3 linked regions of the Styela clava genome follow. The main gene of each other region encodes a partner of the protein of the gene in region 2 in a complex. Links are inferred from orthologs where the notes say so. Each region holds a gene or a part of one and is shown on either strand. Other genes may lie near its edges. The genes, in order: vacuolar protein sorting-associated protein 8 homolog, vacuolar protein sorting-associated protein 33A-like and vam6/Vps39-like protein.

Evidence for each region.
Region 1: vacuolar protein sorting-associated protein 33A-like (region 2) and vacuolar protein sorting-associated protein 8 homolog share a complex: the UniProt entries of both Drosophila melanogaster proteins name them as parts of the class C core vacuole/endosome tethering (CORVET) complex. The link is inferred for Styela clava from reciprocal best matches to the Drosophila melanogaster genes car and Vps8.
Region 3: vacuolar protein sorting-associated protein 33A-like (region 2) and vam6/Vps39-like protein share a complex: the UniProt entries of both Drosophila melanogaster proteins name them as parts of the homotypic fusion and vacuole protein sorting (HOPS) complex. The link is inferred for Styela clava from reciprocal best matches to the Drosophila melanogaster genes car and Vps39.

Annotation. Positions count from the first base shown.
Region 1 is NC_135255.1:12,620,216-12,631,011, forward strand, and holds the start of vacuolar protein sorting-associated protein 8 homolog, read right to left. Parts: upstream 4,538-10,796; 5' UTR 4,447-4,537; coding exon 4,396-4,446; intron 3,791-4,395; coding exon 3,652-3,790; intron 3,229-3,651; coding exon 3,111-3,228; intron 2,625-3,110; coding exon 2,501-2,624; intron 2,136-2,500; coding exon 2,081-2,135; intron 1,988-2,080; coding exon 1,776-1,987; intron 1,321-1,775; coding exon 1,253-1,320; intron 1,170-1,252; coding exon 1,119-1,169; intron 581-1,118; coding exon 478-580; intron 53-477; coding exon 1-52. Other genes in the region: U4/U6.U5 tri-snRNP-associated protein 1-like, read right to left, coding at 6,417-8,762; 40S small subunit processome assembly factor 1-like, read right to left, coding at 9,888-10,592. UniProt on the Drosophila melanogaster protein: Part of the class C core vacuole/endosome tethering (CORVET) complex involved in endo-lysosomal vesicle trafficking and lysosome biogenesis by facilitating docking and fusion of endosomal vesicles.
Region 2 is NC_135257.1:17,176,189-17,186,821, reverse strand, and holds the start of vacuolar protein sorting-associated protein 33A-like, read right to left. Parts: upstream 4,761-10,633; 5' UTR 4,659-4,760; coding exon 4,557-4,658; intron 3,993-4,556; coding exon 3,714-3,992; intron 3,609-3,713; coding exon 3,387-3,608; intron 2,872-3,386; coding exon 2,691-2,871; intron 2,036-2,690; coding exon 1,851-2,035; intron 1,262-1,850; coding exon 1,135-1,261; intron 537-1,134; coding exon 331-536; intron 1-330. UniProt on the Drosophila melanogaster protein: Core component of the class C core vacuole/endosome tethering (CORVET) and the homotypic fusion and vacuole protein sorting (HOPS) tethering complexes involved in endo-lysosomal vesicle trafficking and lysosome biogenesis.
Region 3 is NC_135253.1:11,144,898-11,155,947, forward strand, and holds the start of vam6/Vps39-like protein, read right to left. Parts: upstream 4,460-11,050; 5' UTR 4,221-4,459; coding exon 4,148-4,220; intron 3,133-4,147; coding exon 2,996-3,132; intron 2,595-2,995; coding exon 2,370-2,594; intron 2,017-2,369; coding exon 1,906-2,016; intron 1,650-1,905; coding exon 1,517-1,649; intron 1,418-1,516; coding exon 1,277-1,417; intron 63-1,276; coding exon 1-62. Other genes in the region: rRNA N(6)-adenosine-methyltransferase ZCCHC4-like, read right to left, coding at 6,629-6,873, 6,960-7,011, 7,102-7,177, 7,353-7,474, 7,566-7,714, 7,877-8,048, 8,117-8,311, 8,598-8,735 and 3 more. UniProt on the Drosophila melanogaster protein: Part of the homotypic fusion and vacuole protein sorting (HOPS) tethering complex involved in endo-lysosomal vesicle trafficking and lysosome biogenesis.

The sequences.
Region 1 (10,796 bases), on a different chromosome or scaffold from region 2:
GTTGATGGCTGAAAAGAACTTTGATTTGTGGCCTCAATGACACAACAAGAACCTGTTAAAAAACATAGCATTGAATGACAAATTGACTCCTTTATTTTCATCTATTATTTCATCAGTATATATTTTGGATGTGATGACAGGTGAATGGAAAAACAAATTGCTCATCCAATCATGAATGATCGTGGAGGACATGGTCGTGGAAACAAGATGTTATCCCAGGAATACATTGAAAAGGGACGAATCTCAATTTTTCGGATACATCAAAATGGCAGATATCACAATCATAATTAAACAGAAAATTGTTGCCCGCTTAAATTTGATTAGTACCTTTAACTCCAAATAATAATTTCCTTGTTATAATGCGTTGATTTCAATTATTATCCTTTAGAAAAAATATCCAGCCTTGAATACAATAAACAACCATTCATTCTATGGCACAAGATACAGCATAGCAAAAAATTAAGAGTGATTTCTCACCTTTGTCAAAGTTCCCATTGCCAACAAATGTCTGTCTCTCAATGGATGATCAGCAATTGTTTTCAGAATATGGAGAGGTTCGATGGTGCATACTTCACCTCGACTGTCGATAAAAACAAACATACTAAATATCAAATTACAGCCATTGGTTTATTTTGCTGCTAACTTGAATAACTTAAAACATAATACATAAAATTGCACTGAATGTTAAAGGCGTTTAGAATAATGCTTTTTTCTGTAATAGACAATTCACAAATTCTATATTACTACTTCTTTTTGCATGATTTGGGGGCCTATTAGGGCCAGCTAACTACTAACCCATAGGTGGGTAACAGGGAGACCCCACTTATTATTTCGGTAATTCACCTAGTCACCAATTAATGCAAACTATGTTTTGGACATGAATTTCTCAAAATCGAATACCAGCAATTCCCACAGTTCTGATATAAGTGCTGTATGTGTTAAGCTCAACACCACACACAACAGCAATCAAAGAATTAAAAGACTAGCGGAAAAGATACAACAGTAAGTTTGTTATTAATGCAAACTTCGATTGTATATCTAAGACCCGTATTCTTTTTTATAATAATAAAAACATGCGTGGCCCATCCCTGGTATAAATCAAGAAAAAAATGCCTCACCTGCCAGAAAACAAACACCTTGACTCACAAGACCTCACACCCATAACCCTCCTGAAAACAATATAAAATAATTAAAAAACAAAACATACCTAATTTTAAACTTATAACCATTATTGATGAAACTCCACACAAACCTGAAATTCAATTCAAACACTGATCCACCACTGTCATTACAAACTGCTAATGTAGGATCATCAGTAAACTGAAAGAGAAAAACCCACATTAGATAGTATACAAAGCAAGCTTAAGGAACAGTTGTTCGCTAGCGAAATGAAGCAATAGGTATAAAAATAATAGTGAGCATAGCTATATATTTTTCAGAATGAATGACAAATACACATTAGAATATTTGTGTAAACACACATTGAAATCTAAGCCAGGGGTAGGGAGCTCATTCAGCTTTGGATTAGAAGTCCTTCAAAGTACCTAATCCTCAACTTTGAACACCAGAAATGGCTAAAACTATATAAAAAAAACATCCCAAATATAAATTATTTTCGAACAGAAAACAAAAATGAAGATATGTGACAATTTAGAGAAGTTTTCATTCGTAATAACTTGAAATATTAACAATAAAAGTCAAAACTTAAGCTTTTTTTTCATTTTGTTAGTCTACATATGTAGTAGTTGATTTCATTTCAACAATCCTTGACTAACCTTAACATGTAAAACAGAAGATCCTGGAGGATGAGCATCTGTTATTGTTCGGAGTAATTTCCCTGATTTCACGTCATACATGAGTATCTGTCCTCTTGCATATCCGACTAGTAGTCTGTCGCTATCCATATTGAATGCCAATGCAGTCACAGAACCATACTTGCTACCAACACTGACGCTACCCAACACATGAACTAACTTCTGATCATTATCTGTGAGGAATATGAGACATAGTGGAGTTACGAATAGAATTTATGATAATCTATGAAGCTCTAGTCATACTGTAGATATGAATTTTAACTTACCAAATACTAAAGCAATTCCATGAGCAGTTCCAATGGCTATCAACTGAGAAACTGCCTGTAAAAAATATATTCAATCTTACAGTACTTTTACATATAAGAACCTATTAAACATTCGAAAATGGCATATCTATATACAAAAATTGAATGTAACATTTTAAGATTTCTTCCATATTAATCTTTCCAATATATAAATATTTTAAATCTGTGAAGTGACTCTTCATTGAAAAGGGGAATTAAACTGTAAGAAACAGAATCCAAACAAAAACTTGTGACACAACTTCAGCAACCCGCAGTCCAAATAACGGAATTTCCCGTTAGGCTGCCTTTTCATCTAGCTAAAAATTTTACCTTATATTTAGATGTGAATTACAGAATTTAAGTAACTAAGACTGACTCCTTTCTTATAACAACATAACATACCAATGATGTTGGCTTTCCAGCATTGATTCTATCAGCAGATGACATGATATGATTTGACAGAGCTTGCATTCGGTAAAATGCAAGAACAGGTCCATGGAATTGTGGAGCATCTTTTTTCTTTACACTGAAACAATAAAAAACAAGCTTAATTTAGAACGAGGGGCCAGTCATGTCAGATGTATTTGCCAACCAAACAACAACCAAAAATACAGCACATGAATCCAACTTTTACTAAAAAGAATGGAGCTTGATCTTGTGAGTTGTGTCACTTCATACAATATAACATATATAATTTTGGAAATATTCCGGAATTTAGCATAGTCAAATGTTTAGATTTTCACAAAATTCAAAATAGAAAAGTGAACTATTGACGAATAATACTTGCACTAGACCCAGTAGACTGACTTCTACAGATAGCGATTTATTCCTATAACCATGAGAACCCATTACAATAGAAATATGCCTATAATGATGACAACCTATTGAAGATCTCATTCGGTTATTTTTCTTCAAAGACACGATATTAGGAAAAATTCATATTTGGTTCAATTCTAGATCACCTTCTGAGCTGATTTTATAATCATTTATTTTAATATCGTTGGTTTCATACCTTGAAGCCTGACTGTCTCCACTTTTGATTGATGTTGTTTCTAATGATTTCAGAACACTCAGGGATGCCATCTCACTTTTCTTAAGATAACCATTTGATATGTTTTTCTCTGGAGTTCCTGACAAAATGTGAATAGTGAAAACAAGGTGCTATTGCACATAAGCTCATGTCAAAGAGAGAGAAGGCATGTATGTAACTAAGGAAAAGTTGAGTAAAATAGAATCAATAAAAATAGAGCGTACATTGGTGCTCATCTGACAAACATAGAAAAAAAAGTAAAGCATATTTTTCGCCCACAGCTTTTTGGATAATAATATGAAGAAACTAAAAAAAATGGGTATTAATAAAAATAGAACTAGACTTATTCGCAAAGTCTGCTTATTATGTGGGAAATACGGTATTCTTTTATAAAGATGATACATCAAATAGTGTAGTGAGATTCTTTATCAGTGTCACCTCACAATTTTCATATCACCTGCTACAAGCGATAAAGTAACAAATCGCAAAAAACATATTCAAGCAATTATATAAATGTTGTTACCTGTAGATGTGGGCGAAAAACCATTGGTGATATTATCCAACAACGACACATTATCTTCAGTCTCACTTTCAGCCTCTTTCAAAATACTTTCTAAGGAAGGTTCTTCAACATCAGGAATGTCAAACTCTGTTGGATCAAGCTGCAAAAGAAATTGATTTGTAAACATTAACCCATTTTATACTCCATACATACTTATGATATATCCATAGCCAGATCTGTGACATTTAATCGAAGCTGACCTTTCTATAATTGATGGAGCTACCAGAAATTTTAGTGGCTTCAGCTCCCAACCATCGAATTATTTTTTCCCATGGCTATGAAGCCCAGCTCTGTAGTTAAAAAATGAAGCTCAGAGTCAGAGCCATTGTGATTTTTAACCAGTCTTTCAGTCCTGGCTTATATTTCAATGCTTGTTAATATAAATATGTAGCCTATCTAATTATGCATACATATTGAAGTGTATTTAAAATTATTGTGTTGGGTCCATACACAAATGAGTACCATACGAGAATAACCCATTGTAATTTGAGGTCTGGAAAAAGAAGTTGATAACTACTGCAAAATATCAAAGTGTAAAAAATGGAATATATTTTACTCAACATAGCAGCTTGACCATATTAATCAAAATGACAATTCATATAACCCTATTGAAAATCATGTAACTATTACTAGCAAATAACTGTAAAAGTAAACACTATATACAGAGAATATCTGTTAAATATAAAAGGACTTCATCAAACTCACCTCTTCTAAATCTTCCAGAATATTCCCATTACTAGTTTCAAGCTTGTCCATCGTGCTACAATCAGATCATTTCAGCTATGGAGCAACATTTTATTTTAACTATCAAATAATAAATAATAAAAAAAGATCGAGCGTAATAAAGGTACAAACGTAGGATCTAAAAAAAGGACAACTAGATTGCGAAAACTTATATCACAAAGTAAAATACATGTATAATGCATGTTATCATACCAAGATGTTATGGCAAAGTCAATTGTAATACACCACATCACACTCAATTTTCCTTGTTTTCCTGAAGCTATTCATAATAAATCTAAGATCAGAACCAGATAAGTTACTGCTTCAGATATCAATGAAAATAGGCAGTAATTTTACAAGCAAAAACCGCCGCAGTAAAACCAAAGTACTAATGGACTTTTAGGATTTTCTTTTCACTGTGGATCAGGGTCATCTTTTGGTCTAGGATTCAAATATGTACTTAAAACAAACCAGCTTATGTACAGTTTTTAAGCAAAAGTAATTGATCAAGAACTAATTTCTGTTACAGGCTGATAGACATACGACAATCATGTACGGTATATATAGCCACAGTAAAAACAAGATAGCCTAAGTCAAATTTTTTTAGAGATGGGCTTTTTTGATTTTTTATAACAAGCACCTGTTGTTTTTTGGATTCAATAGCTCGGCATTTGATGAGTGGAATATTGTGATACTATCCGACTTTCGAGGGTAGAAATAATGCCAATATGTCCTAATTCCAGTGTTGTTTTGAACCCTAAAAGATTTTAAAACTTTGTCCAAAATGGGGGGTAGAATATATACATATAGTGGTGTGTTTTAGGCGTCCCCAAACACACAGTCTTAGGTGCCATATGTAATATGATGTTTTGTAAAGAATATCAGATTCCTATTTTACCACATTAATTACAGAACTGAGAATAACAAAATTGTGATTTTCTCAAAATGTGACATAAACTAACTTGGTTTTACTGCGTCATGGTGTAATAAGTAGAGCTGGGAATAGTGACCCGTTAACTACTATTAGATGGTTAATGGTTACAAGTAATTTTAAACATCAACAGACATCCAAAGGAAGTAAAATTAATTCGCATGTATCAGTATTAAAATTCCAAATAATTAATGTATATGAGTGACCAAGCAGATCGTCTAGTTAATAGATGGACATTTCTGATCCATATACAATTTTCAACATTCCAAACTAATATTTATGGCAAACAGTTTTATAATCATAACATAATATAATAAGTGATATTTCACCCAATTTTCAAAGGTAAAAGTGTTTTCATAATAACTCCCAGCCCTGGTAATGAGTCTTCTTATGTGCTATCAAACTAGATTGAGATACCTGTACAGTTAGTACTTCTGGTATTACTTTCCTATGAAATTTGAAAAATTTACAACAAATATCTATACAACATTTCTAAAATAACTTATCAGTGTCTATTCACCATCACCAAATAATAATCTTTATAACCCATACAAAATTCAATCTTGTTGATTGAGGCGAGAAATTTAGAACAGAATAGCAGGTTTAAAAATAATTAAAATATTATCATATTATGTCCGATAACAACCACTGACAAAAGAATATCCTAATGCAAAACACCCAACATAAGCAGCGGATCACATGGTAATTTTCATTTTTAACATATAAATCAAGTCAAGTCAGGGCAGTTTCTAGCAGGGAGTACATTTCTAATGTTATCAAAACAAGAGTTGTTGTGGGCATGTTAACAATAATTTAGGCATTTAAAATGATATGGCCCAAAATAACATCAAAAGATTTTCATAATATGATCTGCCAATCAACTGCTACAAAGAAGGCATAAGATAATCAGAATGACAAAGTTTATGGTACCCCTGCAAGTGTTTTGTAATAGGTATTGGAAGCTGCAATGATTTACGGCTCAACAGAATGTCCCGACAACAACACAAAAATATTGATTTGCATCGATGAAAATTGATTTCATTTTTCATATGTCTCACAATTATAATACTAATCATTTCTTCAGCCCTCCACCACCAGCTTGCAATGTTTTACCAGCTCCACTTAGAACAATATAAGGACTTGCTTCGCTTTGTAATTTTTCTTTCATCATTGCTACTGTGTTAAGTGGTGTATCAGTCGAACTCATTTTCAACATCATATCTTCTTCTCCTTTCTTTTTTTGTCGTTTTTCGAGTTTCATTTTACCCGATCCTTTGCCGTGAAACCTGTGAGATAATTTTCTGAAAGCTTCTTTTGGATTCATTAATCGACCTCCTTCATCAACATACTCGATAGTTACTTTAGGTTTATAATTTTTCTTTTCTTCAAAATCCATTACAATTCCACGATCGTAGCGATTACTACGGTCTTTCGAGTATTTTTCGTGAGCGTATTTATCCAAATGATCAACTGCGTTTTTGTCTTCAATGGAATAGTTTGCAGAAAGCAGGTCAATATTTTTACTAGTTATTGTGACTGAGCTTTTTGGTTTTTCTTCCATCAGGTAACCCTTTCTCGTGGCTAGTTTTAGTGCACCGGCTAAGCCGCCTACAGCAAGAGGCTCGGCTTCAATAGGTGCATGTCTATCATCGACAGGTTCTGCCTGTGTAACTGGCTTAACTTTGGCTTTATCGTTCACAAAATTCCATCCTGACGTAACTTCTTCTTCTTCTTCATCTTCCACGTCCATATCAACGCTGTCGTCCATGGAAGTCTCTTCCATAGGCACTTCTTTAATAACATTCAAATCTGAGGCGGTTCCGAGCTGACGACAAAATTCATCAGTTGAATTTAAAGATATAGTTGTAGAATAATTGGCCATTGGATTTTCAAATGAAACTTTATTTAAAAGGTCTAAATGTTCGACGACTTTACTGGCACCGACATCCTCAGTAACCATGTTTGATTTAACCTGTTTTGCCCGTCTTGCTTTGTCCAATGCTTTTTGAAGTTCATTACTGGCATCATCCTCGTCAAAAATGACATTTTTCTTCGAATTCATTAAAGTTGTAGATGTTATACTTGTGTCATCCACTTTTGCAGATTCAATACCTTCATCCCATCCAGGTATATTTCCTCGTTGATTTCGACTTCTAGAACCAAAATCAGATGATGTTGAACTACCCGGTAGAGGTTGTAGATCGTCTGGTTTTAGATCACGTTTTCTTACTTTTCGCACTTTCTTTTTTCGTTTTTTGAACTTTGTCATTTCCTCTTCAGTCAAATATTCAGATGCAATTTTGAGTTGAGGGAGTGCTAAGCTGACTCCTTTAGCTTTAATTTCATTTTTCATCATCATTTTTTGTTGTTCCCAAGTCGTATCAACTTTTCCATAATTACCGATAGTAAATTTCTCTTGCTTGATTCCTTCAATTTCTTCATCATATTTCGAAAGCATAGACTTTTGTTTAAAAAATCCCATTTCATCAACCTCTTCCTCATCATAAGCTTTGTATCCAGAACCTTTGGACTTCACGTCCAAATTTCGTTTTGCTTTTTCAGTATCAACCAAGTTTACACCAACAAGAACATCATCCTTATCTTCTTCAAGTATATTTTTATCTTCGAGAGTCAAAATTTCTGATCTTCCTTCTTTGAACATTTCTAAGGAGTGTTTTACAGTAATGCCTTGCAAATCACGAGATGTGTATGAGTCTTTCTTTACATCGGCAAATTCATTGTCTATTAAACCACCAATACCAAATTCTGCATCCATTTTAGCCATTTCTTGTTCTCGTTTTTCAGCCACCTTTTTTTGTTTTTCCATTTTTCTACTTCTTTCTACCCAAGATACCGCATCATTTTCATCTTCATTTTCTTCTCCCAAAGTCTTGATTTTCCCCATTTTTTTGTTTAAGTTTCTTTTTTCTTTAATGGCTCGTAGTTTTTCTCTAATATCATCCTGTTTTTTCTTTTCCCACAAATCTTCAGCAGGAGCATGAACAAATTCTTCTTTCTTTGATTCGGTTGCATTACCGGAAGATCCACCGACGTCGAGAGGTTTGAGTCCCAGTTTTAACCTCAACTTATTTGTTTCTTCAATACTGAGTGAGTCACCTTCGCCATTAGCTGATGTTGGAGTGGGTTCAGCATGATGTTGTCTTGACTTACCATTACGTTCAGATTCCAACTTTTGGGGGGATTCAGAATCTCGATCTCGTTCACTTTGTTTCTTGTGTTTTTTCTTATGTTTTTTTTGTTTAGAATATGATTTTTCTGTTTCTACATCGTCATGACGTCTTCTTTTTTTTTCTTCTGGACTATGACTTTCATCTCTCTCTTCATCATCATATGCAGGACTTGAACGCTTGTGCTTTCGATGTTTATGGTCTTTCTTATGCTTTTTAGATGATCCCATCGTATTTATTATAATTAAGAATTAACCTGTAAATATTAAAGTAACAGTTCGTTTATTCAATTAAGGCTAGGCCACATATGGATAGTAAATCAAAAATGTAATACATACATCAATGACGTACCAAATTCAACAGTATTACAATGCATTTTTTTTTAATATGCCCAACAAAGTTTTTAACATTCGCATGAAATTGTTATATTCGGCAACAGGTCTCAAATCGATGATATCATTTTGTTGGGCGAAGTTTCCATCAAAATGAATGAATATTCAATTTCAATATTATTGATATACTTTAAAATTGTGAAATAACCATTCACAAAACTTGCCGTCTCGTTCCATGCATTAATTTATTTCCTTTTTTTATACTTGAAAATCTGAGAATTTATTGACATTACAACAAATAGATGCTAGTTCAACTCATTTGGTCCAAAGTTAAACATGATAATATACAGTGTTTTTGTATGAAACCAATACAAATGAAAATCATTGGAATAACATTAATCGTTCCACGTTGATTCATTTTTGTATACTACACTTGTAAAAGAGTATAATTATATGTTAGTTCACTGATCAACTACACATTCCTCAAACTTGCAAAAGTATCAATAGAAATGCAGTATGGTACAGTTCTCCAATTTCAAGAATAACCCCAACATTAGAAGACATCAATTATACCAGTGAATGCAAACCGCTCCTTTATGAGACAGTCTGGGCCTCCATATCGCCAAACTGGCACTGTGCAAATAAACTGAAGGATACACAATCTGAAAATGTCACCATTGACCATTGGATTCCCAAAAATAATACAATTTACCAAAAAAAAAAAATTTTACTGTAGGATTCAAGAGTTTTTAGCAAAAAAATGTTGACAGAAATATTTTGGTCACATGATGGCAGACACACGTAAAATTATTATCGAGACAAGCATGGCGCAAATTACCGCCGTACCAGACACCCTCGTTACAGAGACAAATAGAGTGTTAGTTTTATTGAACCAAATATAGACAGATCTTGGCATCAGGAGACTGTGCTCTATTGGAAATGACTTTCATGATCTATATCTGAGAATTGGTTTAAAATGTAATGCATCAAGTCAATGGGAAATATCAAAATAAGCAGAATTTATTATCGGCGCCTGTTTACAGATTTAATATCTTTTGATGAAAGTTTTAAAACTCCATCCTTATATTTTCCAATTTGCGGATTCAAACTTTTATCGCCTTGTTTCCAGAATTTCGGCATGCCACTCGTCTTTTCTTTATATTCGGTTCTATTGTTCGACAATATATTATTGCCAGAACTTGTATCTTGTTTCAATCTTTTTTGTTCTTCCATGAGAATTTTATAATTAACATATTTCCGTTTTGTCGGTTTTGCTCCAAGTTTTATTGCTCTTTTTCTTTCATGTTCTCTCTGTTCTTCTTTCGAAAATGCCTTCATTCCAAACGAGCCAACGCTGAATTTTAATTTTTCTAAAACTTCCGAAGAATTTAGTCTTTCATTTGTATATTTAGACTTTGGAATATTGAACTGTGAGTCTGTACCAACAATAGTTGGTGATGCTTTTTTTATTTCCGGTTCTTCATTTTTAGTTTTTTTACTTTTAAATATGACAATTTCAACTTCCTTTTTTAATTTATTATCATTTTCCTCTTTCGTCATCACCGTGGATGGAATTATGGGGGTATTGGGTTGTGTTTCTTTAGGCTGTGTTTCACCTAAAAATTCTGAAGCATATTTATCCAAAATACTTAAAATTTTATCATTATCTGCTTCCTTCATGGACACTTTGTCCTTTATTTCCATCTTATGGCGCCTACGTTTAGTCATTTTCGCGATTCAAGCCTGAAAAATAAGAGAAACAGTACCGTAAATGATATGAAATTAGATGATACATTTTTGTTATAAATTGATTTCAAAATTTGTCTGTATGTCACTTGTGCACATAAATTTGTGTGTTTCCATGCCACTGGAGCCCTTTAAAAATCGAAATTTACACCACTGCGACATACAGGTACCCTACTGCCCTCTTGA
Region 2 (10,633 bases):
TTGTTCATCCTTAAATATTTTTAGATATCAATGGATGCTTGGGCACTCCAGAAGTAGGTATGTGTACCAATATGGAGGTAACTAATTTTATTTGCCTACTTAACATCAAGTTGTGTAAAGGGACTAAAACATATGGGCAGGGGGTATATTCGCTTGGCTAACACAGACAGTCCCGAACTCGTAATAGAACTAAAATACAGTAAGGTAAATCGGAATAAAATATGGCCTAACCTGGTACACATACTATGGGAGTACCAAAAAAACTTCAACACAAAACATTCTTTCAGTGTTGACCTTATGCAAATTAAAGTCAATATATCATAAACTCACATGTAGTATTTCTCGCTTGTAATAATCGAGCACCTTCGGCTTTAAACCATTATTGGTTAAATTTTGAAGGCATAAAAGTCGCAGAACTTTATGCAATGGTTTTTTCTTGAATAGACAATCCTCTATATAAGGATTCACTTTGTCTGTTCCGATTCCATTTAAAAACTCCTGTTCAACAGCTATTGTGTCTAGAAATCCCTCAGTGTCTGAAAATAAACAATTCTGATTTACTAAAACAAAATATCTTATTAATAGCACAAAAAAAATAAATAAATGTCGGTTTTAGTATGGTTTGATGATAAATTATACCTTAAAACTGAACTTCAAGAATGAGCCAGAACAAGCTAAATTGAAGCCTTCAAATCTAAGCATGTTGTAATTTATAGATAGAACCTAATCATTTTTTCATACTGATTCTGTGATTCATTTTTTTCTGGTCTCATGGACATGGTCAATTATCCCACTCACCGGTATTACTAATTTATCGAGAAAAAGAAAAATTGAACAATTATACTATTCAACAACAGGCTTGACAATGAACCCTACATGGGTTTCAAGTTTGAATCCTGTCGCGTAATTATATACGAAAGAATTGCTGAACTCATCTATGTTGGAAGGTGGTTCGAGAAACAGCTGGTCAGTTCAGTAAATCAGTAGATGTCCTCCACTCTCAAGTATATGCATCTGAACTGAATAACTATTCCCATATCTGACAGAGACAATAGACCGTGGTTCACCATATGATTATGCCATCATACCATCTTTTCTTATAAATAGAACATGAAAATTGTTTGAAAGTCTCACCAGTATGTTCCTTGATTAATTCTGCTATTGATGTGTGGCTCGCTAAATTTGCTTTTGCCTGTTGCATTTGTGGCAAATGGGAAACAAACTTCTTAATTTCACCAACTGTTTTTGCTGCGTGCCTCTCCTATAAAATACAATGATATTTTATGAAGATTTTACAAAGCTCCGAATTAACCTCTCACTAATGTTTCTTCGCATGTACATGAAATAAAGAACAGTGTGGTTATTTTGGATTGGTGACAAACGAGTATCAAAAATCTTGGTGTCAAGGTGATGCCGTTCCTGTGGTCGCCTCACTTGCCAGTGCTCTGAATTGATAATTGGGCACTCCAGAAGTGTGTGTAGCCATATGAAGGTGACTAATTTTGTTTGTCTATTTTACATCAAGTTGTGTAAAGGGACTGAAATAGAACTAAAATGAGAAAAATCAGAATAAAAAATTTTTGTTTGTAAAGAATCAGGTTGCCTCTCGAGTAGTTTAAAAAATAACTTTATTCAATATTCAAACTTTTTACTTTGGTATGAATTAATGTTAGGCTTGGATCACGGGTATCGCTGTTCGAGAAAACATTGTTTTTCACGCCTCCCTTCACCTTAATTGCCATTTTTACTTTATTTTATATTCTGCTTGTACAAACTGTATTTTCAGTAGGGTGAAAATATAGACTAATGATTACTATGTTAGGAGTTTCCACACATAAATAAAACAGTACCTCAAACTGCTCAGTAATCTGCTTTGCTGTCACTTTCAAAGTGGGGCCCACGGCATTGAAGTTTCTGTCTCGTAGTATTGCAAATAATTCATCTTTGGATGAGAGTATGATCTTCTTCGGTTCAGTAGTGCCTCCATCATTTTGACCTTCTTTGGAAAACTTTTCAGGTGGAAATTTTGCAGTTGCTGAAGGCATAATAAAAGATAAGGATTACAAGTAAATAGGATGCACTTGACTTCTATACAGAAAACAAAACTTCGGGTTGTAGAAAATTTCAACTCCATCTCCAGGAAAATCAAATTTTGATGACACAACTTTGGCGTATGCAAGCCTTCATTAATAGACTGCTAAGAATGATTACTAAAACGGTACTCCCGTAGTATGTGTACTAGGTTAGGGTTAGGCCATAATTTTATTTCGATTTTCCTTATTTTAGTTATTTACAGGGATAGTTTAGGGAGTTCAGGTACTTTCTGTGTTAGCCAAGTGCATATACCCCCATGGGCTTCAGTCCCTCCCTACACAATTTGATGCCAAGTAGGCGAACAAAACTAGTCACCTCCATATTGGTACACATACTTCTGGAGCACCAGTAAAATAGATGCCCATTGAGTTTTAGTGAAAAGTTTTGACTTTATTTATCACCATTGAGAAAGGCTACAACTCCAATTAAAGACTCCAGGGCATTCACAATTTCCACTGTGGGGAGTTAGAAAAATACGTCTCCAGCTCCAACTCTGAATCCAGTGCAAAAATAATGAACTTTGACCCCAGGGCCCTAGTAGAACATGATCAAATTTAAAATATTAATCATCCTATACTTGCTGATCAAAAATTTACCATTTTTAATTTCATAAACTTCATCTATCAATCCTTCGTATGTCAGTTGGGTAACAAGCGGCGACAACAAATCAACAGAACGATCTAGAATCAATAATCTATCAATTTGTGGAGGAACCTCTCCTTCATCTTCACTACTTTTTGATTCAAGTCGGATTCTTTTCATAATTTCACAAACCATCTATGAATAAAAAATAAATTTACATTTAGTACTCGCTTGGTCAGGGAGGTGATATCCAAAGGTTATAATAATAAATATTTTATTTCATGTTTCGATGAAAAATTTAGCGTCATAGATTTATACAATGTCTGCATCAATAAAAAACTTGCTGTTGCATCTCTTCGACAAGTCTTATATAATCCTGCGTTGTGTCTTATTGGACGATTGAATTAAGGGTGGCCTTATTACGAAATTTTTTTTATCATTAAAAATGTTAGCATGTTCTTTAAAATAAATCATGAATTGGCGAAAATGACATGGTGTGTCACAATGGGTCAGTGGTTCACTATCCCTGTCTGAAAATAGATGACTAAGCCTATAAAAAATAAAGCAATATTTTGGAATTGCGATTGATATATTTCAATATTTTAATGGGATTTTATGTTCAAATGCCATCACGCCAAAATTAAATACTTATATGGTAAATTCTAATAATGTAACCATATACCAAATGTAAGATTATACACATAGAATACCTGGGCATATCTGCCTTTGCAATGAATATTTGGAATAATTCCAAACTGTTTCTGTAAGCTGTTCAATGCTCTAGCAACCAAATAAAGTGACGAGTAATCTTCATTGATTGTGCAGTCAAATAATGAAGAATAATGTTCCATAGACAGAAGATCGTACTCCAGAGGAATAAGATCAAGTCTGTATTCTTCTATATTTTTCAGCATGCTTGAAACTCCAAGTTCCTGGTAAAAATAAAAGCAATTTTATTTCATATTTAACCCATTGGGGGAAGGAAAGTCGACAAGGCAGTAATCATACGGCCACTCGTTTGATCGAAGAAATAATACCTCCAGCTTTTGAAGGCAAAGATAACTTTTCCACGGTACAAAGAAAACGTGAAACTCTTTTCCAAAGCCTGTTCCATCTTCCTCTCTCTGTATATTCTGAGCAATAAAGTCCATTTGATCTAATTTTGGCCTTGTTATAAATATAATATGCTGTACAGTAGATTTTGCAAGTTTTCCTCCAGCAAGTGGAAACATTCTCTCAACCTCATGTTCTTTCAGCAGCGGAAACTCAGCAATGAGACCAAATCGATCTGTGAGAGCATAGTCCCAAACCAATGCCTAGAAAGGTAATATTTTAATGAGATCATGGCTAAAGAGGATACATATAAAGCTGGTAATAAAACAATAGCCATCGCTTATTTTGATAATATAATGCGAATAGATTTTTATTCGAATGTAATATAAATAAATGTGTGCGGTTCAAGCATGTGTTGTCATAGTCTGTTCGAATCCCATGCCCGCAAACCTCATCAAGAGTGTGATGAATTGGGTAGGCAATGCTTAACAAGACAGATAGCGTTCCCTATGAAAAAATAGTAGTTCTTTACTGTAGTTAGATATCAATGGTTGCTAGGGCAGGGATTTGGTCGTCATGAATAGACATCATAAAACATGCGTGGTATGAAAAAATGAATGTTGCATGAATACATTCACCTCAAATTTTCGTATATATCATCTTGTGATACCAAAGGCTAATCCAATGGGCAGTCCGACTGGGTTAGTATGGTGTGATGAGCATGAAAAGTTAAACCTTCAATGGAGGCTAGATGGCACCCTGTTTAACATACGAGTTAATAATGTAATTTTTTCAACTTCCAAAATAAAATCCTATAGTAGATCTACCTTCGGTCCAGCACACTTGTCAAGTAAACGTAACAATTCTCGTCTTGCTTCTTCCCTGACCATTGCCAGGTTTACCACACCAGTAGAGAGATGAGATGCCATGGCACTGCTTGTGCCTTTTTCAAGGAAAAATCACAATGGCTTCAAATCAAATACCTAGTTACAATACAGCAATAAGCTTCATATTTCTTTAATGAATTATTTTGTAGATTATGAAAGCGTAAAAACAGTAAATACAAAATATAGGTTATGTATAAATTATGCTATCCTACAGCTGTCGGGCTGTACAGTCTTATGAGCAAGTCAATTATTGAAAAAACTAGCCACAATATGACAATACATACCAATCACTCAATAGTCTCTAATTTAGATATTTTTTGTTTGTTTTCATATGCAATGTCAATATATTAAAATCAGTTATTTGCAATAATACAACGCATTATTTATCCGCTGCATGTTCCATTTTATGCATTTAAGACAAACAAATTGTAGTTTTCAAAGGTTGGTGTAGCATGCTAAGGGTTAATGGGTTAGGAATATGCTTGACATTCTGACATTGCACCTCCTGACCTCTGATTACTGGATTATCATTCGCTGGTTTGAATGCGGTGGAGGACAATTAGGCTATATGCCAGAAGATTGCTGGATTCCCCTACTACGGTAACTGACCAATCAATCATTCTCCATCTTATGATCTAAGGGTGGGTTCACATAACTCAGTAACTCCTGGTCGGTATATTCATCTGTACGGTATATCTTCCTCTATCGTTAAGTCCATGCATCTCAAACAAATAACTGGGGTCTCGTGAAGCAAACGCCGTAACTGCTTAAGTCTGTAACTACCCCTAAACCAGTAAACAGAAATGTGGTGTGAAAATGAAGGGTCTAGTAACGTAAACGCCGTAATTGCTTAAATAGCGCCTAACAAAATTGCGATGAGAAATAAACGCCGTAACTGCTCAAATAAGACCCAACAAAAATGGGGTCTCATGTAGTTTCGTACCTAACATACTTCTAGTGGACGTAGCATAACAATTTTTATCTGTCAATCCTAACCCCCATCTGACTACGCCACCTAAAAATTACGTCAGTACGACCTCACAGTGACGTAATAGAGCCCTTCAAACTATACGAACTGTCATTCGAGACGGGCACCCGAAATCGAAGAGCTATTTCTCTCGTTTTCTCGTCGCAACGATCCCGATATGAGAGAGATGGATGACAGTTACCGGTAGTTCTTATTTCAAAGATTTCGCAAAATCCAAACGTTGTCGCATATTAAATTATAAGTCAAGTCGTGAGTGTGACTGAAGTGGAACACACTTGACCGTCTATGAAACCAGAATAATGCAATCTACAGGGTTGAGTTCTAAAGAACTCTGAAAAAAAATAGAGCAAAGTAAGTGCAAGTTATAAAATATCGCTTTTATTTCTTGAATATTAGGTGGGGTATATTCAATATAGCCTACATTCGTACTTCATAAAACTAAATGGGCATGCAATTATGAGTCTCTTTGTATTTGACAATTTAAATTGCCGTTTAACATTTTTTAGTTATATATATATGTATATATATTAGGTACAGTGATTGCTAACTCAATATATAATACGAGAATATCGGTCGGAGACCGAAGACTTATCGATCTTAGATTGGTAATTAGTTAATAACTCGCTAAATATACGACATAATCAACCCAAAATCAATAGGCTTCTGGTCCGAGATATGATGTATGCACATGCAAAATTTGGAGCAGATTCAACCTCGCATTCGCGAGATATCGCGTTCATCTAACAGACACACACACAGACAGACATACATACAGACAAATACCTATCAATATACTTACCGATCTTAAGATCGATAAGTAATAAGAAAACTAATGGAGACCGTGCCGATAGAAGTTTGATATTTTCAAATCTGCTATCTAGACACGTTCAATTGTCTTTATGGACGGGATGAGTAGATAGAATTCATCATTCAAATTTACTGGACTAGATCATCTGGGAGTTCCACAATTGTACGGTCGTGCCCCAAATTCATCTCTAATGTTGATTAGCATGCTGCCAAGACAAGTATAACTCATATATATTTAAAAAAAAATTCAAGAAATTTATTTGAGTGAACATGTAAAGCAAAAAAATGAATATATCTGATCTGTTTATTAGTCTATTTCGCAAGAAAAAGTATCTATTCGGCAACGATAAGCCTAACTGATATATATATATATATATATATATATATACTTTTTTTTTCTAGGATAAATCTTGAATTGTAGAGTTTTGCGAATTATGGTTGTAACTTCTAAGTTTGAATCACTTTCTAAGTATAAGCAGCGTTTTGAAAGAGATGATACAAAAGTTTGAATCACTTTCTAAGTATAAGCAGCGTTTCGAAAGAGATGATACAAAAACAATGCAAACTTTAAACTCATGACTGATGTACTTACGTAAATTACAATTTACTCCTGTCCAGCCTTCATCGCAGATGCATAGGGGAAGGTGGGGCACGTTGGGACATGGGGCACAGTGGAAAATCAGCTCTCACACTAATACTATATCCGCAATCCTGTTCGCGGTTCGATGTTTCAATCCTCCCTTCGGTGAGTTACAACGTCCCCGCGAACGGACAACGGACGGGTAGAGCGGCGCAAGCTATGAGGTAAAATTGGTTTGGGGAGGTTGGAACTAAAATTTCACCGTTCCATTTTTTTCTTTTTTCGACTTTAGCCTTTCCAACATGACAAACCACCGTCTGATATTTTTCAGCTTCAGTACACTTTAAAATATTCATAACGTTGGCAAGTGGATGTGCCTTCCGAATTTCGCCGTGGGATGGTCTGAAAATATTTGTTTCCTATGGAGAACAATGGACCGGGGTTCAGTGGGACATGCCCTACAGGGCACAATTCGAGAGTGTTTGATACAATAAGTGCTTAGAGACCAAGAGATGCTTTATTTTTTGTGTAATACCTTCATTATTGTGATACATTCATTGTATGCCTCAGGCAGAGATGGACAAGGTTTTAGGACTAGGGACCAAAAAGTTTGTCCACTTAGACTCGGGGGGTCATGTAAGTGTGACGTAAAAAGTTACAATATGAACAATATTTACAGTGTTACAAAAGTGGAAATGAATAAGCCTCGTGCCAAAACTAAATTTAATCGCAATCTTAACAAATTCCGTGAGCTATTTTTTTTTTAGCTTAAATATCAAAACTCAGCTTTAGTTTGGTTGTGGCAGCATCAGGCGAGACGGATTGAATTACCCAACGAGCTGGATTTGGCCAGCGGGCCGTGGTTCGCCATGTCAGGTGTAAGGTCTAAAGGTCAAACACATGCAAAAGATCTATTTCATAATGCAAAAATCTAATTTTTTTAAAACACACCGAATCATTTGTAGCATAATAACATAATTCATGTAATTGCGGCTATGATTCAATGGTCTAAAAGTATTGATCTAGATACAATAAATCGTCAATAAAAGTGTAACAATTTTGTTGACCATCTCCATGTATATTTAGTAAAAAAAGCGTCATTATTAGCGTAGATACCCATGCCTAATGGTTTATTTGGTTTGCAAAAGCTGCTGAATGGCGACAACGCTTTGTGATATGTCGCGAAAGATCTGAAGTAATCTTTTTACCTTGTTCATGAATATCTATTTCTAGCATGTTAGTTAGATAATTCGGTAGAACCATACGGTATTCGTCGACAATACTTAATTATGTATACATTTTTTTTTGAATCTGATATTTGTACTGTAGCAAGTAGGTACTTAAGAATAGTGACTGTGTATTTTAATATTCTTTATTGAATGCCAAATGTTCGTATATTCTAATGATGCCCAATCCAATAGCTCGATACCCAGCTTTGGTTCCCCGCGGCTTCCATTCCCCAGTAAATTGTGTGATTATATTTTTCTCTCGAATATTGTATTGGATTGATTTTTTTCTGGTAGGAAAAATAAAATTGAATTGACTTGTTTATTTAATTCTTGACTTCTTCCAATAAAAATGGAAACAAAATATTTTCATTTTTTCGATTTTTTATTTACTACCGGACTCCACCCTGTCCGAACTAAACGATTACTTTACTACCCAACTCCACCCGCTAGCCCTGTGCAAACTACCTGTTTCAACCCCCTCTGCTCCCTATGCTGACTAGTGGCAAATCATTCGGACAATTTTTCTGTGTTTTGGGAATCTGCGTAAACACAATTTCACGATATACGCTAGAACAAGCGTCCGGTTAAAATCTGTACGCATCAGTTTTGACATCACTTCAATACTGAAAAACGCAATTTATTTAGTTCCAAGGCTCCCAGAGGGTTCGCGGACCCGAGTTTCAGAACCCTGCACTTACACAGCTTATTTTGTAGATATGGGTACAAAAATAATTTGGCACTTCTACTATGAACAAGGATGTGGGCTTGCAAACATTGAAACGTGTTAACAAGTACAGTGAATCATTTATGAAGTGTGCTCGCACCTTCATCGAAGCTGAAGAAAAGTGAATAATGAAAGTATTCAACGTGGCAGTGAGAATTAATGATGAATGCACATATAATTTCCAGATTGCGAACGGTCCAGGAGAATCAGTCCACGAATAGTGTCTACCTACAGCAAGATAATAAAAACCAAGAGCAGTCAATTGTGAGGAATGTTGAAAAGATTTCTTGATTTAAATCAAATATTGTTTCTTGTTCAACTTTGTCGAGGCATTTTACATTGGTGATCATTAGGTTCACCTTATTGCTCTTATTTCGCTAGTAATTTTTGTTTGACAATGTTTTTCATCGCATTTACTCGTATATTCTTCCTCTTGACTAAATCCGCGCAGAAGGTGTTTTAAAAAATACCGAAAAGTCCGTTTATTAGTAATTATTTTGCATTTGATCAGAACTCAGAAGTGATATAAATTGACCAGACATGATGTTCTATAATAATTTAAGGTCATAATAATGCTTTGCGCGAATATATTCACCTTATTGCTCTTATTTCGCTAGTAATTTTTGTTTGACAATGTTTTTCATCGCATTTACTCGTATCTTCTTCCTCTTGACTAAATCCGCGCAGAAGGTGTTTTAAAAAATACCGAAAAGTCCGTTTATTAGTAATTATTTTGCATTTGATCAGAACTCAGAAGTGATATAAATTGACCAGACATGATGTTCTATACTAATTTAAGGTCATAATAATGCTTTGCGCGAATATATTCACCTTATTGCTCTCATTTCGCTAGTAATTTTTGTTTGACAATGTTTTTCATCGCATTTACTCGTATCTTCTTCCTCTTGACTAAATCCGCGCAGAAGGTGTTTTAAAAAATACCGAAAAGTCCGTTTATTAGTAATTATTTTGCATTTGATCAGAACTCAGAAGTGATATAAATTGACCAGACATGATGTTCTATAATAATTTAAGGTCATAATAATGCTTTGCGCGAATATATTCACCTTATTGCTCTTATTTCGCTAGTAATTTTTGTTTGACAATGTTTTTCATCGCATTTACTCGTATCTTCTTCCTCTTGACTAAATCCGCGCAGAAGGTGTTTTAAAAAATACCGAAAAGTCCGTTTATTAGTAATTATTTTGCATTTGATCAGTACTCAGAAGTGATATAAATTGACCAGACATGATGTTCTATAATAATTTAAGGTCATAATAATGCTTTGCGCGAATATATTTATAACGTCATAGTAATAGACTGTAACCTGCACCCAAGGCATGCGCAATAGTCACTTGGAGTTTATAACTTAATGCTACGTGCTGCTTTATACTGTTCTTTATTCAATCCGATGTTTTCAACAATACGAGCTGTGTTCCTGGAAGTCTCGAGTATTGTATTCATTTGTTTATAGCAACGTCTTTAAGTGTCCTGACAATAACCCAACAAGACACGTGATTACTGGATGAGTAGATATTTAGCCCAAATGTAATCATGGGAACTATACAGATCTTTTGGGTCTATCGTCATCATTTGTAGCATTGCTGCTCAGCCACTCGAGTTTATTTGTTCGAATAATTTTCCCGGGTAATGAATCATTGTAATACTCCTTTTCCGGGCAATATACAC
Region 3 (11,050 bases), on a different chromosome or scaffold from region 2:
TTCAAGAGTTCTAATTTCAACATATGATGGCAATACTGCTAGTATATACGGTGCTTGGGTTTCTAAAAACATAGATGTATTACAGTTAGGGCTGTCCAAAATCGAATAATTTTTTGATTCGAATCGAATCGAATATTTTCGCCGAATCGAACCGAATAATCGAATATTATTGCGCAATAGTAAATCTGTCTCTATTATACAATAAACGCCTGCCCTTCGATGTTGTGGTAACGTATGTGCAGTTACATCAAAGGAGATCACACGCTTGTATGAACTGGTCAAAAAAATTGGAGAACTCCAAAATTTGGGTCTCGAAAACTGTTGAGTGTTAAGAGTAAAAATTGCACTATTCAAAAATTGCAATCTCAATTTTGATGGATTCAGTTTTAGTAGGACATATAAAGCCTGTAGATGCTATTTTAATCCTATTCACTAGTCTTATGTTTTTTTGTGTAAATTTCAGCAAAATAATAACAACCATCAATATAGATAAAACTGTTGCTCAAGTTCAAAATTGCATTTAAAAATTCCAAGCTAGTTTGATGACAATATTATTTGAGGACTATAATATTGTTAGTGTACAACAGCCATCAAAATGCAAGAGTGCAATTATTTGTCTTGGTATATAAATGGATAATACAGTAATGCCATCATGAGAAATTTCAAATTCCATTTAAAGAAGGTATTGCCATCATAAGGATCCCAAAACACCTGTTTCAGCTTTGAGTTGCCTGTACCATGTTCCTATGATAACTAACTCAACAGCTTCAAATCGATTCTATTTATACAACTATCGTTTTCTAAATTGTCTCCTTTTTCTCCTTGTTCTCTCTCAAAAACGTCACGATCGACTATACCTTGTTATGATGACCACGCATGAAATGGCTAATCACGTGCCACCGGGCGGGCATTAGTAATGACATGTTTATCACAAAATGAAGGCGAGAGAAATATCGGGAAACCAATTAAGCAAGTCGGGAGCGAGAGTGGTCTGAGCTCGGAGCGCCGCCGCTTGCCCGATGAAAAACATCCCGTAAAGGTGGTTTCCGCTTTATGTACCGGTACCTAATTTTAGCGATTCGAAAATTAGCCGAAAAACGATTCGAATAATTTGCGATTCGATTCGATTTCGAATATTCGGTTCGCTTGGACAGCCCTAATTACAGTATATAACAAAAATCTGAAAATTAAACATTGGTAATTATAAAACTTATTACACTTACATGGTATAGAATATAATCAAGTTAAATAATATGGGTAAATTATATTACTTTACCTATATCTATGGGTGCATCTGACCACTTGAATACTTGTTTTTCACCAGTACCGTCTTTATCGATAAATATACTCATATCATCTTTCATTAAAATTAATCTGTTTTCATCTAATTTTGTCATCACTGGTTCCATGAGCTTCCCTGAAAGTCAACACCATTAGTAGTACTGCAAAATTTGCATTCGCAGTATTACAACGAGTTAGAGTAACAATCCACCCACTCTTAATACATTGATCTCACCTGTAGGAAATAATTCATATGGAACAGAATTTGCTTTCACTGTAACCATGAAATATTCTCTTCTGAAACCAAGACAAACTGAATCACGACACCAAGCCATACATTTTGGTATCTCAGGCATGCTGATATCTGGCTGTAAAAATGGAATAAATAGTTACCGGTAGATATCACTAGTGTATATATATATATATTCTCTACAAATAACTATAAAGAATTTAAATATTGTTATTTAGAAAGCTAAAGAAGACCACATGGTCCAAACAAAAATACCTTACCATTTAAATACCACAACCTTGATGAAATTATTGGAAGCCTACCACTAGTTCAGAGATATAAATTTCCCGTGTTTTTAGGCGTATTAAACAAATATTTGTGAAAGCCATACTCACACATAGCTCATGAAAACTCCGATTTTTCCAAAAATAAAGTAGTAGTTTTCTTTTGACCGCAATGCATAATCTTAAAGTGTGAGCAGTTTCACCTTGTGAGGATGTTCGTGACTGTATATAAAAATTGACTGATAAATTTTAAGTTTGTATTTCAAGATCATGTTGTTTCTATGTTTGCACATTGTTACAGAGCTAACAGCTAATCAGTATTCAGTGGATAATGGTCAAAACTTGTTAAAGGATGCAATTAAATTACCGTAACTGAATTCTGATTGTAGATATTATGGCTTTATAATTAAAGTAATAATTTACAAAAATATGAATAAATCCATCATTAGCCACATATCAACATCATTTGGAAATATTCAAATTAAATAACCATCATAATTTGTTATGTTAAAATGATTTGATGAGTTATCTTTATTTATCTTATTTACTTCACAGAAGTTAATAATCAAAAATACCTCAAGATCAGCAGAAAAACAAGCTGCTCCTTTAGATTTTTGTAAGGTAGTTATCAACTGGAATGTTGTCAAATCATGAACAGAAACCATGGAATCTGACAAACTTAATATTAATTTAAGTTCAACACAGACAAATAATTGTTGAATTGGTTTCTTTGAAAATGTTCTATTTGATCGTTCCAACTTTACTTCAGCTCTGTTATGTACATTTGGATTATGTTCAACCTGTAACAAAAAATTTAAAAATACTAGGTAGGCTTATCAGATTTAGATAGTTAATTGAGGAGTGTATATCAGAGAATGGGCTTTCCCAATTATCAAACAGCCAATATTGCAAAAGTAGCTTATAAGCAAAGCTCTACTTTGCAAACCGAACTGGCCATTTCCCTATTGCATTAAATTCAGGAAAAAATAAAAGAATCATCACTCAAAACAGAACTGGGCAAGGCGGGTTAACGATATTCACTACTAAAGATAACAGAAATGAAATTGTACATTTCTCATCTAATCTAAAAACAACAAATTCAAACATCACTTAATTTGAGAGAGAAACCACAAAATAATAATTTTTCAGCAGAATAATGTCAAAATCCCATATGTTTGCTAGATGAATATATTATTCTCACACTATAAACAAGCAAATGTCCTGGCTTTGTTCCAACCAACAAAGTTGCTTTAGGGAGATCTGGTGCTGAGTTATCATTTTCTGACACATCTCCATCATTTATAGAAAATCTGTTCTGTTTGAATAGCTTCTCTTCTCCTACATAAGACAAATAGCAGAACTCATTAAATCAGTGAGCTGATGCAATTTATGTCACTCGTGGAAGCCAAATCTAATTTTACTATCCTGATTACACTATGAAATAATATTTTTGATTATTGAATATATTCTAAATATGAAATACGGCCATACGTAACAGAGACATTTGAATAAATTTTGTATGTTCATAGCATTGAGTTTGATAAATGCAGAATATTTGGCATATATATTGTTTTGACATCTTTCTATTTATACCGATAGTCAATGTTCCCTCTAATTTTTGTAGTATGTGTGCGCCGAAATTTTGGTGTGTGCGCACTTTTCTGGAAATGACTAATATTTGTGCAAAAACCAATGAAGAAATTTTGGCGTTCTAACCGGGTAATAGGTGGGCTTATTAAGAAAATTCTGGTTATTCAATAAGTTTTTCTGTAGATTGGAAATGCTTTAGTGAAGGCTATATGTTATCAGTAGATAACAATGAACATACATGGAAAATAATAAATGAAATTGATTGTAACAGATGGTTTTATTTGAATTCAAATAAAGGGTGAAAAAAGAACAAAAGAACATTGTTACATTACATCGAAATACGTCTGTGCGCAGTAAATCTATGCGTGTGCACAGCCTCTGAAAGCTGTGTGCGCGCGCATACGCGCACACCTTAGAGGGAACACTGCCGATAGTGTCAAGAGTTAAATAAGCTTGTTTTCAGCTGGCCCAGTGACCAGATGTCAAATGCTGAAAATAGTCAATGCATTTCGAACAACTTACTGATTAGATATCTACATATCCAACCAGACCTGATGAAGCCATCCTTCATCATTAAACAGTCTTAAATGTTATTTCAGTATTTTGCAATAATTTCTGAATTTGTTGATCAGTTACATGTACCATTCACACCTTATAATTATGATTGATAATTTATATTGGGCTTCGCTAGATACAAAAAAAAAATCAACACACCATCACACAGAAATCCCGGGATGTTACCAAAAATAATATTTCAACTCACCCCAACAAGCGATACATTCAATAGCCAATGGTAGACTCTTCAGGACCGGTAAATAAATGTATGCATCATGCATTTTGTTCCGACGGTAATTCTCTAGGAGGCGGTCTTTGTCCACGGAAATATTGACAAAAGTTAGCAAGTAAAAGTCCGCCTGTCACAGTGCTAGATTACACTACCTACTGACCTATCTCTCAAAGTGACTCACTTTGCTATCTTCGACTTCTATACAGCTATACACCGGCCACCGCTGCAGGCATTCATTAATACCCAGCAAATAATCGAGCCGCTGGCGGCGTCAGCGGCAGTGTTTCTTTGCAGGTTGAATATAATCATGGTTAACTGACCATGATATAATGGACCTTTCCCCGACCTTTGACCCCCGAAAAATTCTTCACATATTTTACCATTGCAAAATTTTCGGGGCTATTTTAGGAGTGCTTTTGCAAGTTGGCGCCTGTAAAATGGGGTATGTGTTTCAAAACATCATTATGATTCATCGCATACAACAATCTGTTTTTTAAAAGTACCGGTAAAGAATTTCAGGCTAGTCTATGTATGTATGTATGTATGTATGTTTATTCCTCTCGTAAAAGCAATATAAAAGAGTAAGTAATTATAAATACTGAAGACGGGATGTATGCACAAGACCATATTGGCCTGAAACACAAATGTGCGGCATACACCCCTTTTGATATATATAAATTATAATAGGGTAAATCAAATATGTACAATATGGTCCTTTATACAGGCAGTTGTGCAAGGAGGGTGGGTGGATGCGCTAACAGGGATAAGGGTGGAGTGTACAAAACTGTTTGTACAAAGGAGTTTGTTAGACAAAACAACTTCTATAAATAGAGACACTACACAACATGAAACACTGCATATGACTATAGTAATAAAAAAAAATTAAGAATTTGGATGAATGTACAACACCATTGAGTGATGATACCACATACTATAAAACGCGGGAATGGTCAAGTTTAAAGGGTGTGTACATATATGGTATGCACCACTCAAGGGCGACAGTGTTATAAGTGGTCTATGGCTGTTCTGGCCAAAATGTGGAGTGGAAGTGGTGACTCCTCTTCGGCCCATGGGCCGGGGCCACGGCCCATCAAATTGGGCCTCGGCCCATCAGGCTATGGGCCGCGGCCCATCAAGTTGTGTAAAGAAACTATTCACTTGGCTAAGACAAACAGTCCCCAAACTCATAATAGAACTATAATGTAAAAAATCTGAACAAAATTTTGCCCTAACCCTAACCTGGTACACATACTACAGGAGTTCATTTTTTGGTTCGAATATTGACAATTTTGTAAAAATTGAAAATTTCGGTAAGATAATTGAATTTTTTCCTGATGGGGCCGCGGCCCATAGCTTGATGGGCCACGGCCCATGTGGCCCAATTAGATGGGCCGTGGCCGCGGCCCATGGGTCGTAGAGAAGTCACCACCCCTGTAGAAAATGTGACCCTACAGGTTTTGGTGAAATATGATAAAGATATGTATCAAATGACTCACTATTGTAAGTTTTTTTTTTGGAATTCTGGATTCAGCCAAAAACGATGAAGTTTCAAAAAATAAAAAAAATTAATAAAAAGCATTTCCACAAAACCTATTATGGTTGCATTTCAGCCAGAAGATTAGAAAGGTATAAAGGTACAGTGGGATAGGTAATGATAAGGTACAAAGAGAAGCCATTTTACCATGTCATGGATTTTCCAATGTAAATTAAAATAATAAAATTATATGGTATCCTGGGATGAGCAGAAGAAAAAGTGTGATTATGTCGTTGATCTTGTATTCAAACGTAAGGCGCACTGGACTGCAAGACGCATCGGTATTACAAAAATGTACGGATTACCGTACAAAGCTCAACAACCAACAGCGTCGCAATCCACACACGGCAATCAAAATTGCAAGACCCTCGATTGTCTATGTCTTTTGAAGCTTATCATACCTCAAGTCATCGTTAATGCTTATTGGCAAGCGTTCCGCAAGTCTAGGGATCAAGTAATAAACAAAATAATTTAAGTTTAATAATAAATAATCGCCAATTGTGGTAGATTCGAAATAATGTGGTGTAAAAATATATCACACAAAGATTTTCATTCTTCGACTGACAAAACCCTCAATAACGATTGTGTTTTCTTTTCTCGCTTGCGATCAAAATGACGAGAAGTGTGTATAATTATATTAATAGCGCAATATCCATGAACGATAGGGTTAGCACCCGTTTCTTTTTGGTCAAGAATTATTTTCGCACACCTTCAACTTACAGTATATTGAGACCTACCTCATTATTTTCCCATATTCCCAATAAAAGGACAAATCGATTTTTCAAAATGGAAGATCTCATAGAAAAATGATGCTATTCTACAAAGATTTCAATGTAACGTGAAGGATTTCATAATTAACAATTTAGAATATTCGAATTCTTATAATATCCACAGTCGCAATATAGTAGTTTACAGTCTTGACATCAAGAAAACGTATATTTCCTTTTCCTCAAATGTGAGGATTTTCTGTGAAAAACGGCATGGTTTGCTTTGGTTTTTATAGTCTTGGCTGGTAATATATCATTGTTTTTTTGGCTATTCTTTAAAGGACAGTCTCTGCGTTTGTGAGTCAACTTCCCACATAGATGACAACCTAGCAGATATCCAGTTTTCCTGCATTCATGGCCATCCAGTTCACAACGTTCACAATTTTTGCAGTGTTTCCGACCTAAAAATACAAGTTAACAAATAAGAAAGGGCAGAAATTCATGCAATGAGTTCCCTCCCTAGTATAATGATGATAATGATACTTGCCTGGTTTTACACAGAAATTACATTCATTGCAGTGAACATAAGTTCTCCCATCCTAAAAATATAAAACAAGATCATTAATACTATCAAGTATAGTATGCAGACATGCAGTATATTATGATCAGTTGAATAGAAAAGGCAATACCTTTGATGGGCAGTTATTGCATATTTTGCAATGTTTATTTGATTCAGCAACATATCGATCACATCGAGAACAGAACCTAAAATAAATGATCAATTCTGTAAAGCTTGCTGCAAATAAGGTCACAAAAGTAAAATGTAAAGCGATAATTCCATCCAGATGCTAATTTACAAAACTAGACAATTGTTCTAAGTGCATGATAAGATCACTAAGGAACATCATAATAGGTTGGTATCACAAAAAATGTTTTTAACCTGTATCCTTCATCAACTGGAAACACTATGTCATTCGTTTTAATGTTGGTAAAAATTCTTACAGGTGATATTCTAGTGCTTGTGATTTTCTTCTTAAACTTATTGTGATTATTGTAGTTCACCTGCAAAGATTTTTTTGTAATTTAATAGACTTAAGTATGTACTGAAGTTTCCGTTTATCTAACTAACAAAGCGTAGCATAGCTGACCATACCTGGTAATCAAGCATATGTAGTGATGGCAATGCTCCAGTTATTCTTTTTTCCATGAAATATGGAAATATCCACAATATTGGCAGCAAATTTTCAGTTTTAGAGGACTTTGAATTTTCAGGAAAACTACATGAACTTATCCACTTCAAAGCTGAAACACAACACAATAATAAATTCAAATCCACAAAAGGTCTTCAGAATTTTGCAAGTTCAATAAGTAACCTAAAGAAGTAATCTAGTAACCTACCACAAACAATTTGTGAGAAAACATTTATCTACACTGCTTAAATACATAAAAATATTTGCAACCTACTATTTGCAATGGCATCAACCAGTCCACCAAAGGGAGGATCCAATACCAAACATATCCTTGAATGTGATTCTGATTTCTCTACAAAATTACGCAGTTTATCAAAACTTTCATCAATGAAATAGTGATTGAACATATTAAAGTGACAAAACTTATCCTGGTCGGAGAATTGTTCCTGAAAATGTTAACTTATATTTAAAAGATGTTTGAAAAATGTAGTTATGAAATGCAATAAAAACTTACATATCTTTTGTCAATGTCTAACAAAATACTGTCAATTATTGTTGTTACATCTTCAGAGTTTTTATGATAAAAATACTTTCTGTATTGAATTTCCTCATGAAGTGAAGGCATTCCAATACATACGATATGTGTGAATTTCAGTTGTAACAAAATATCTAAAATGAAGTTCAAGCTTCGGTCATTCAGGAAATATTGCTGTTAAAAAAATTTGGATTTACTGTAAGCACTCAACTTACCAGTCAGTGAAGCAATAAAATGTTGTTGTATTGTAATTTTATATGATAAAAACCAGGAAATGGAAAATGTTTTGTGTCAGAGTTACTATAACCATGTTTTTGGACAAAGTCCTGTCAAAGATGTATTCATAGCGTTTTAAGGAAGTCTCCATTGTTTCAAAAATATGGAAAACAAATTTCATTATTAAGTATTATTTGATTTAAACCTCATTTACAACCCTATTCAGAGAAATAAAATGTCATACCGCATTCTTCTTATCTTCTTGTAATGGTGGCAGTATTTCTCTTGAAGGATGGAATAAATTGAAAAGGGATAAGCTTTTAATGATATCATGTTGAAAACATTTGTCTGTAGGTTTTTGCCTACATTCCTCCAATCTCACCTACAGAGAAAAAGTTTTAGCGTTATACAACTAAGAAGTGGGATTATGTTCAACTTCATTTCAAAACTGCAGAAATAACAATACATAGATAATGAATGATAGCTATACATATATATTTGCAGTGATCTCAACTTTTCCCAAACATGGCACTTCAAAGGAATGACAGCTATGTTGCAAGCGAATAGTTTTCCAATTTGTTTCTAGACAAAGATGAGAAATTGTCTATCTTCATACGGATGTAAAGTAGGCTATATATCAATATGAACATCATGGGACTTACGATTTGGCAGTTACGACAAAATGATCTCTCAGAGGGTGACAATGATGCCAAACCCTTGAAAGTGCATTCATATAGAAGAGAACTATCATCTTGATGCTGTCCAATATGTATCTGAGAATAGATGCAAGGATAAAAGCTCTAAAAATAGGAATTCATTGTTTTGGTAGACAAATTCATCTGATGCTTTCATAAATCTTGACAATTTTCAATATTCATCATTATTATCTAGTCCATACCACAGATAATGGCTATGATCATATTATAAACAATAGGAGGACACGATACTGTTGCATGCGACATTTAATAAGTCAAACTCTTAGCATGTTCGCTACTTCAGTTTTCCAATTATGTAATGCCCATATGTAGACTTGAAGCAGATAAAAATTTTCAGAAATAATAGCTAGGCCTATAGAAAAACAATAAAAAGATTTCTGGGACCAACGAACTCTCTTACCATACATCAGTTCATAATATATGTTTTCTATTGGTTGTAGTTGATAAGACAAATGCAAAGCTTAATCATCCTGAACCAATAATTTTGTGATTTTAATAAAGATGACTTTGAGATTAACCAGGTATCAAAGTAAATGGCAATACAGAATGTGATTAACGAAAAACTCAAAACTGCACGGTACCTCATTTCCACACTTATTTTTTCTGTTATAATCATCTTCATACAGGAATGCATCACACTCTTTGCGACTTCTGCATGCGGAACATGCGTAATACCGTCTCCCTTGACATTTTCCATGAATGAATTTTTCAAACAACAACATTGGTCCTGAAAATATTTAACATATTTTACGATATCATGCACCTGCAAATTTTCATCTCAGTACCGTATCCCTATAAAATCTAAAGTTCAGGATGGCTCTGTGCTTAACACACTTCAAAACGTGTTTAACGCTAGGAATAAGCTTGTTACAAGTAACATTAGGATAGGATTTACATATTTATACCGGGGGAGATGAAAGACGATAATACGGCTTAATCATGACGAACCACGGCCTCTCGTTCATTATAGCACAATGGCCTAATAATGCCAGAATACAGTATCGGTAGTCGCAAATACAAAATATAGTTCTTACTGTCTTACCATGACGACATCTCGGCGCACTGGCATACCAGTCTTTTATGAAAAACACCTCAATTCCTGTTCCCGCTGAAAAATTATTCATTCCACAGCCAAGCAAAATCACACTCCTGTCTTGGGACAACACTAAAAGGCTGAAGGAAGAAACGGATGAAGTGGAGGGAAAACGGAAGTTGGAGTGTTCCCAAAGGTGAAAAATTAAAAAACACTAAAAGGCTGAACACTAAAAGGAAGAAGTGGATGAAATTTCTTCCGACGGGTGGTGAGGTGGCTGAAGTCACTAAAAACATGAACACTAAAAGGAAGAGGTGGATGAAATTGTTTCCGACAAATAATGAGGTGGTTGAAGTCACTAAAAAGCTGAACACTAAAAGGAAGAAGTGGATGGAATTTCTTCCGACAAATAATGAGGTGGTTGAAGCCACTAAAAAGATGAACACTAAAAGAAAGAAGTGGATGAAATTTCTTCCGGCGAATAATGAGGTGGTTGAAGTCACTAAAAAGCTGAACACTAAAAGGAAGAAGGAGATGAAATTTCTTCCGACGGCTGGTGAGGTGGATGAAGTTACTAAAAATATGAACACTGAAAGGAAGAAGTGGATAAAATTTCTTCCGACAAATAATGTGGTGGTTGAAGTCACTAAAAGGAAAAAGCGGATGAAATTTCTTTCAACGAATAATGAGGTGGTTGAAGTCACTAAAAAGCTAAACATTAAAAGGAAGAAGTGGATGAAATTTCTTCCGACGGATAGTGAGGAATACTTGAAAATTTAATATATTAGGAATTGGTTAATTTAATGTTTGTTCTGTTCGTAATTATGAGACAATGTCCTCGTGGATTCGATTTCTGTTAATTTTTTATATGTTATGCTCAGTTGTTATGCTTATTTGTGTGGTCAACTTCACGATTATTATTAATTTTTGATTCCTATTTTCGTATTT